Caenorhabditis elegans: one gene and its partner. The protein of the gene in region 2 purifies or fractionates together with the protein of the main gene of each other region. This does not show direct contact. Each region holds a gene or a part of one and is shown on either strand. Other genes may lie near its edges.

What was found.
Region 1: the proteins of sdz-30 (region 2) and nep-5 fractionate together in Caenorhabditis elegans (co-fractionation; one large-scale study listed by BioGRID). This does not show direct contact.

What each region holds. Positions count from the first base shown.
Region 1 is NC_003280.10:5,486,455-5,491,319, forward strand, and holds nep-5 (NEPrilysin metallopeptidase family), read left to right. Parts: upstream 1-1,689; 5' UTR 1,690-1,696; coding exon 1,697-1,746; intron 1,747-1,793; coding exon 1,794-2,103; intron 2,104-2,147; coding exon 2,148-2,365; intron 2,366-2,415; coding exon 2,416-2,788; intron 2,789-2,837; coding exon 2,838-2,996; intron 2,997-3,041; coding exon 3,042-3,540; intron 3,541-3,585; coding exon 3,586-3,803; intron 3,804-3,848; coding exon 3,849-3,977; intron 3,978-4,023; coding exon 4,024-4,152; 3' UTR 4,153-4,184; downstream 4,185-4,865.
Region 2 is NC_003279.8:13,305,101-13,309,336, reverse strand, and holds sdz-30 (SKN-1 Dependent Zygotic transcript), read right to left. Parts: upstream 2,287-4,236; coding exon 652-2,286; downstream 1-651.

The DNA of each region.
Region 1 (4,865 bases), on a different chromosome or scaffold from region 2:
CAAAATGGCCTACTAAGAAACATTCTAAAACCATGGAACTATGTTGAAGTCCTCTTTTCCATTTTTTGTCTAGTTTTGCAAACTAAAGCTAACGACGTCATCACTGTCAAGTTTCCACGAAAAAAATCTGAACTTTTTTTTGGAAAAGACTCATAAGAGAAGTCTCTAAAACGGCTTTAAAAACAAAATAAAAACAAGAAAATAGTTCTAAAAATGGCGAAAATTGCTGCCCGGGGAGTTGATGATGTTGGAGAAATATTAGAACTTGTTATCGCCCTTTAAAAGAAAAATTCAAAAGTTCAATTCTCAGATTGTTATGAAACTTTTTATACTTGTGAATATCTCTTGGGAAAAGACATATGCTGAGCCTAATTGTCCTGGCAGGAGAAATTTCGAAAGATGAATCACTTTTTTGTCTGAAGGAGATGACCTACTGGGAAAGCGAAAAATATGATTAATTGGTAGAAGTTTCGAGAAGGAAAATGTGAAAATGAAAAAGGACAAGATGAAAATCTATGGCTCTGGGAATTTTTGATTTGTTGGGGTGAATAAAAATTGAGTTAACTCCATTTCAAATTTTTTATAACTGAAACGAAGAATGGCCTCTTTCGAGTGCTCAAAAGACCTATGAAATCATTGTTCGGAAACCGACACTAAAGCTGCCAACTTCCAAATAAAGGTCGTGGTTGCCGAAAATTATGGAGTTCGGAAACTTTGACAATTATTTGTTTAGAAAACTCAGAAAAATTCAGAATATGTTGAATCACTCTTTCAGATAAAAAAAAATCTAAAACAAAAATCTCCTTTCAATCTAGAATCCCATCTAAAACCTAAATAATGAAAAAATAAATTACTTGACTCAAGATGAAAGATTAAAGAATAGCGAACATGGCAAATCTCTGAAATCGCATAAATGTCTACAACTGAAAAATGTGCCCAAAAACAAATAAAGTAGTAGGTAGCGGAAGATGAACAAGAAGAAAACCTTCCTATTCACAAAATTTGCCTGCTTTCCAGTTGGTCTCCAAAGTGTTATTTATGTCACTACTCCATTTCTTTTGCATATTCTATGAATTTGGAGAAAGGAGTCAAATTCGAGCTGTTTAGAGCCAAAACAAGTTAAAAGTATTCAAACATGATCTGCACTCGTTGTGGCTTAATAATTAGTACAGGGCCGGCCATAATTGTATATAAACTTTTGTTTTCAGGGCTACTACTCAGTTTAGCTAATGAGGTATGTAGTTAGAACAGCCTTATAAATTCTTGAAACAAAAAAATCGTTTGTAGACTTTTTCTTGCCGAAGTAGGCTTCGTTTAATATAGTTGTTCTTGAGTTATAAGGATTGCAAGATACACTGTTAAAAAAAAAACCCGTGATATGTCGCAAACTTCTGCCATAATTCTCTTCGTCAAATATTCTGATACTATAAAAATGAGGGCAAGATTATGAGCAAGAGTTTGAAAGCCAAAAATCTTTTTTCAAGTGTCTAGCTTCGAACTCATTCAATTTTATGCCAAATAAAGTTCTGAACACGACGTTTGTACACAAGGTTTGCTCCAAAAGAGCGAGCCAATAAGTAATCACGTTCTTATGCCAGGAAAGTTCAGCCACGCAATGCCTTCTATTTTTTAAAAATAAATTCCACGTTATTGAATATTTTTCAACAAAAACACTTTATTACTTCAAATATTCTTTATGAATCCAGTGGATTTTATCAAAAAACCAAAAGAGAACATAATGTCGAAGTGAGTAATTTTTACTTCATTTAATATTAATAATCTCCCAATTTCAGAGATCAATCTTCAATGTTATTCTTTAAAGATCCGGAGAACAAAAATAAAAATCATGTGTCACATGTTGAAATCGGAGTTCCTGATCCAATCGAGGAACTGCAAAAACTGCAAAATCGTCCAGAACCATGCACCGTTCTAGCTGTCATCACGACCCTGGTCATCCTGGTGCTTCTCATTTTTGCTCTCGGAGCGCTGGGTCTCCATGATATTTCGGCGTTTAAATGGGAACCAAAACCCCAGAAAGCACTGAGAATTATGCTGGATCTACCGTGTCAAACAAAGGAATGTGTAAAGTATTCAGCTGAACTGGTAATGGTTTTACAATATATAATCACATTACAAAATATTTTCAGCTTGAATTGATGGATTCTTCGGTGAATCCTTGCGAAAACTTTCATCACCACGTGTGCAATGGCTTCAATCCAAGAAAGAAAGACTTTGAGAGACTCATGAAATTGATCAATATTCAGGAAAAGCCTGATCATCGAAAGGCAGTTAATGTTGTGAGGAGAATGTTGAGCAAATGTGCAATGGGAAAAACTGAAGAGATTCATCAAGTTGGACGATTGAGGTAGGCAGTGGACTTTAGAAAACCTCTGCTGACTCAAGAAATTTTTTCAGCTCAATCATCCTCCCTGGTCTTCCATTCCCGCTTCTCAACAACTCATGGACAAAACCATCTGATCCTATTTCTACTTCAAATTCATCCACGACATACAGTTACCCATTCCTTACAAAAATATTGGCTCATATCATACTTCACAACCCCGATGATGCTGGATTTGTAGGAATCAAACCATCAAGTGACTCTGAATTCTCGTTGTTCGTCGTCAAACCGTTCTCACCTGTTCTCACAAACTTTAAGTTTCGGAATATGTACGATATTTTGAAGCGAAATGCACCGGAGAGCTCCACAAACGGAATGATAGATCTGGAATTCGATAGACAAAGGCAGCTGAATGATGTGATCAAGCTTCAGACAAAATTGGAAAAGGTAAAAGTTGAAACGTTTAAGTAGAATAATAGTAACAAATTTATCTCAGATCGAGTTCAAAGCTGACCCAGAAGTCGTTAATCTGACTGAGATTCAAAGACAGATGCCAATAATTGATTGGAAGAGACTGATTGATTCCTGGATTCCGAATGGCTATGCTCACCTGAAAGAAAAAGTATATGGCTTCAATACCAGTTATTATGAAGAGGTGAAACATAATTTTCTAAAAATATCTAACTCTTTTTTTTTTCAGATAAATGCGATCATCTCATCTACACCTTCTGAAACTATATACAACTTTCTTTTTCTTCGCTTTTCGTTCAAATTCCTTCGAACAGAAGTAGCATCTGATCTGGAAGATACTTGTCTTCATCAGCTGTCAACAACCATTCCTGGAAAAATTGTGCTCTATGGATCCGAAGAACCGGAAGCATTGAACCTTCTAAATGGAATGCTCCACACAATTAAAGATCAACTGAAAAGATCGTTAGCTACATTGAAATGGATGGACAGTCGAGGAATCGAAGAAGCACAGAAAAAGTTTAATAAAACGAAAACAGTTTTTGGATTTACTGGAGAAGATTTGATTGATGAGCTTGTTGGGAAGATAACACCGGAGTCCAATTATATATCAACTCTTCAAAATGTTCTTCTTTGGCAAACCAGAAATATGTTTAAGTCTGTCGCAGAAAACAATGTGACAGTGTTTTTGAATTCGGAAGTTTTCTATTCAGTTGAGAAAAATGAAATAAGTAAGTCTTTCTCTGAAATTCTAAAAAAAAAGAAATTTCTTTCAGCAATTTCACGAGCTCTTCTCCATTATCCTTTCATGTCTGCAAACCTTCCAAACTATACAAATTTCGCAACTATCGCGTCCAAAATTCTTCCCCAAATGATACACATTTTCGATGAACGTGGCAGGTTCTACGATTCGGACGGGAATCATCGTAATTGGTGGAATACTGAAACAGAACGATACTTCCAAATAATAGTACAATGCTTCGATGGGATGATGGTAGGAAAAAACAAATTAGTTCAAGACCAATAAGTTATTATTCAGCAAAACGTCTTTGGCGTCAGCGTCAGTATTGGATGGAATGCTTATGATTCAACTAAAGAACCATATGCCACGCTCCCAGGAATCCAGCAATCATCAGATGAAGCTTTGTTTTTCTACAGCATGGTGAAGGTATGCGGTCTAATTAGTAAATTTTAACATAAAACAGTCGTTTCAGACAATGTGCACCTCGGATCCGGATAACGTGAATGAAGCTCTAGCGAGTGTTCCACAATTCAATTCGGCGTTTAAATGTAACAACGGAACAAAGATGAACCCTCCGACGAAATGCAAACTGGCTTCATGAGTACTTAGTTTTCAATGAATGTGTTTTTATTACATAATAGACTAACAGCTTAAAAAGGAGTCGTTAACATTATAACAGATCATCATTCAAACTCGGAAAGACTCTCCGACTAGTCTTCCCATCCGGTCTGGAAATAAACGCCAAGGCGATTGGAAGAAGCGAGGAAGTTTCATTTTTTTTGTGGTTGGCAGTTTACGAAAACTGCATAATATTGCGATTTTTCAAATAGTTCAAAAAATGTTACAGAAAAGTGGGCTTAGTTCTAGAAATTTCGATCGTTTTAACCAATGTTACACTCGGTTAAAACAATTATCAAGTTTCATTAATAATAAATAAGTAAACTTTCTTATTAGCAAAAATCATCTTCCTAACAATTTAATGAAACGTGACACTTTGAAAAATGCGAAAATTAATATGAAACATTGAATAAACAAAAAACACAACAAATCGATTTTCAATTATTTCGTTTTTTTACCGATTACAAAAATCGGAATCGTTGAGAAAATGGATTCTCAAAAACTACGCACAGAAGGAACCCGAGTGATTGACATCGTGGCTGATTATTGGTATGGACTAAGGAAAAGAAAACCACTTCCCAATGTGAAACCTGGATTTATGACTGCTTTAGTAAGTTTTAAAATTCTCTTTTTTTTTAATTATTCACTTTTTAAAGGTTCCATCAACACCACCAGAAGCGCCGGAAGAATGGGAGA
Region 2 (4,236 bases):
GTGCAAAATATATACTTTTCTATTGTTTTATCAATTATTTAAACACTTTAAAATTTAATTTGGCAAAATTGTTGAAGTTTTCACAACAATCCTGCTGGTCTGGTAAGAATAGGGCTGCAAGACTATCACCGTATTTCCTCTATTTGTCTTGCATGCAATACTAATAGAGGCTGCAAGACTAATAGAGGAAATACGGTATTTGGAAATTCCAGCAATTTGTCCATTTGCCCATTTGCCGGAAAAATCAATTCCGGCAATTTGCCGATTTTCCGGAACAAAATTGTTTGCCGTGCGTACGTGGTGTCAAAGTGTCTCATTTCGGTTTGATCTACTTAGATCTACAAAAAATGCGGGAGAAGAGACGCAGAGTTCTCAACTGATATCGAATGGTTAAGAACGTGCTGACGTCACATATTTTTGGGCGAAAAACTCCCGCACTTTTTTGTAGATCAAACCGTAATGGGACAGCCTAACACCACGTGCGCGCACCGCTGATAGAGCATACCTCTTATATTTTTGCTTCTGTAAACTATTAACTATTGACTAAATATTAAATAAATAGTTTATTGGTAAAAAACTGATTACAAAAAGAAACAAAAAAAAACAAAAAAAAACAAAAAGCAATGAAAAGTTAAAAAGAATTATCGAAATTTATTGATCATCATGTCTTTCCCTGAAGGTCAATAGTGCTGCTCTATGCTTTTGCTCCAAGGTCTTCTGTGCCGCTTCAGCTTCTTTCCTTTTCCTTGCTTCTTTGCATTCTTGAAACCATTTAAGTCCTCTCTGAATGTCAATATTGATCCGTTGCTTCTCACTGTCTTCAATATTACAATCGATCTGCCTTTGAAATATCGCATCGATAAGTCGTTTTTGAGCATCGATTACCGGAATTCTTTTGAAAGGATTATCGCTTTCTTCCGTTCTAATTTCAGCATCCACTGTTGCTTCATCCTTCTTAGACTGATCTTCAGAATTCTCTAGAGTCATATTTTCCATCATTTTCTCAGTTTTTTCCTCTTCTTCCAGAACTTTCTTCTTCAATTTTATCTCCTTATTCTTCTTCTTCGCCAATTGAACCTTATCATAGATGATTTTTGTCTTCTTTCTCCGTTCCTCTTCCATTTGAACTATGAAAGTTTTCACAGTAACTGGTGTCTGAATGAAGCCATACATTTCTGGAATCTCCTTTCGAATTTTTCCATACAAGTTCCTAACAATCACTTCTACAACCGGTTGTGGTAGATCATTCCGATTGATTACTGCTAGAACATGACTTTGGGTAATCTTGGCGGGATCATAAATCAGATCATTACAATGAGTTTGAACAAGGGAATTGAATTCCGCTTGATAATAATATTTCTCCATCAGGTTGCTCTCCAAATTATGAACATGAAAAACGTACTTCTTCAAGCCTTGGTGAAACTCGGAATACTTGGCCACCAAGCTATCCTCAGTGACTTCAAATTTAGATGTACCTTGGTAAAAGTCGAAGTTTCCGGTATGGTCATTGTAAATGTACTTGATGTAGTTTCCATTACAACTGTTGATCACACATACAACCTCTTTCTGACTAGCTTGGCAGATCCTAACTTTGAAAGTTGGTAGAGAATCTAGGTAGTTGAGATCGTCCACGTCGAGATCATCCTCATCATCTTCATCCTCATCGTCCTCTTCGGAATCATAATCAGATTCTACAGCAGAATCTGGGTTTTCCGGGTTTCCAGTCACATCTATACCCTTCTCTATCTCCTGCATCATAAGAGTACGTACAACAACCGGTGGAATCGCTTGGAATGGTCCAAGATGTGAGGATTGCTTTCTGATTCCACCTCTAAGATCTCTCTCAATCACAATATTCTCATTCTTTAATCCCTTAATAACCACGACCAGGTTACCATGAGTGACGAGGCTCGGGTTGTACACGAGTTCCGGAAAGCTGACCTCCACGAACCCGCCAGTCGAGTGAGAATAGGCGTACTGCTCGATCTTGTTCGTGATCCCATTGTGCACAAAAATGACGAGCGTCGAGGTCTTATTACAGACCACCGAGTACTTAGGATAAAGATCCGCTTCGGTGACTCTCGCTTGACACTGAAGACACTTGTGTGGGACCAGCTTGGGTGACGCCGGATGCTTGTTGAACATGTAGTATTGACCAAATCGTTGAACACCGATTGTTCGCGTTCTTGTCACGGGACAATTTCCCATTGCAAACTTGGGCAATGGTCTTGGGCACATGATGGGCCTGACGCCTGGAGCTGGTTGAGCTGGGTATTGAGGGTACATGGCTTGTTGGAGATGTTTCTGGAAAATGAAGTGTGAAGTTTCAGAATTAGATGAGGGAAAAAAGGAAAATGATTGTAGGAATGCTTTTTTAAGGGATTTTTGATTTTTTCAACCACTCACAGTGGACATGAGGGCAAGAAATTTGCAGGAAAATTGAAGGAATGTTAATTGTGAAATTCAAGAAACTCTACATTTTTTGAACGATTTCAGACGTTTTGAACTTCCCAAAAGACATACGTTTTGTAACGTTTTGTGAAAAATTCCGGGCTTTTTAAAGTATCGGCATGATATTTGTCCGTTTTGTGGCAATTTTGAGACATTTCATGGACCTGGAGGGACCAGCAAATCGACAACCCTTTTTGCTCACTTTTCAATTTCCGATAATAGTGTACATAAAGAGACTCTGAATGTTTGAAATTCACGGAATTTCCCAAGAGTTGGCAGAAAAAATTACAGCAAAATTTGAGGATAGTGAATTAAACATGATTATGAAGGATGGAACAAAGTGAGCAAAAAGTATTGTCAATGTACGATGTACTGTTTTTCAGAGGGTTTTCTGCCCTAAAAGTTATTTTCTTTGCATTTTGATAGGAGTTTTGAGTTCAAAAAGGTTTGATAGACAATTAAAAACGACTTCTTTTTTGAAAAATCACAAAAAAAATCATAAATTACCAAGACGGTAACTGGCAACAAACATGAAACAAAATCAGAAAAGAGCAACCTCTTCGTGTGCTGGTACAATGAATGAATGAATGAATGAATAAGAAATGTGTACTGTCGATCTGACAGAGCAACTACGACAATTGGGCGGAGTTTAGGTGTACGCATCTGTTTGTCAATTGACATTCCGATCGATTGTTGACCATTACAGTGGTATATCGATCTGAAACTAGGGTACTTTGGTCAAAAAATGGATCTTGCTGCTGTTTCATGAGGTTTTTTTCCAATTATTTTGGATTTATTGACAAGGAAAGAATGGAATAGAAAATGTTAAATTTCACATCAACTTTGAAAGCTTATATCTCAGTTATCGTTTGCCTTATTCAAAAATTGTCAACTAACAAAATATTTATTAGCTCTTTTTCTATAATTTTGTAACTAATAATATATTGATATCTTTAAAATGAACCGAGATATAACGTTTCAAAGTTAAGTAGTCGGGTGCAATACTAATAGAGGAAATACGGTATTTGAAACCTTAAAGACTGCTTCATAGGCTTGAAAATATTAACGGATTTGCATATAAAATAATGGTCTTACAAATTTCCGTAATAAAGAAGGGAAAAACTATTTTAAAATGCAGTATTTGTGCTCAAACTTCCAATTAACTATAGGCATTGTAGGTATAACATAATAATTTTTCCGTGCTCATTCAGTTGCTAGTTACCATTCCCCGTGTTTTTTCTGTCGACTCCTGGAAGGTTCTATGATTAACAAACATTTTGACCCTCCTTGAATCGTCTTTTGTGTAGCTGAAGTCGAGTAGAAGTTGCTTCTGCCGGTTTTTTTCTGAAACTCAAGAACAAGACGCTAAAAAGTTATGTTGTTTCTGCACTAAAACAATACGCATAAAACTTGTCTCATCTCAATTTTTTGAACAAAGCAAATGAAATATCAAACATAGAAGAAAATTTTTCATCGAATTCTCACAGGTTTAATTTAATAATGTTATCACTTGGAGCACATCACATCAAAGTCCCCATAAGAGGCAGTCCTCCTACACAAGGACTGTCCTGAGAAGGTTTCTAGGTTTGTTTTTTTCTAGGTTTGTTTTTTTCTATAATCCTTCGTTTGGTCAGAGATGTTTCTTTACAGATTTATAGCATACACAAACACTGTCTCTCCCAGTCGATCTACAACAAAACACGGATAGCCTGTACGAGAGATGCACGACGCAGACGGGCAGACGGTGGTCGTAAATGTTCGCGGGCCTTGCTCAAAAGGTCATTA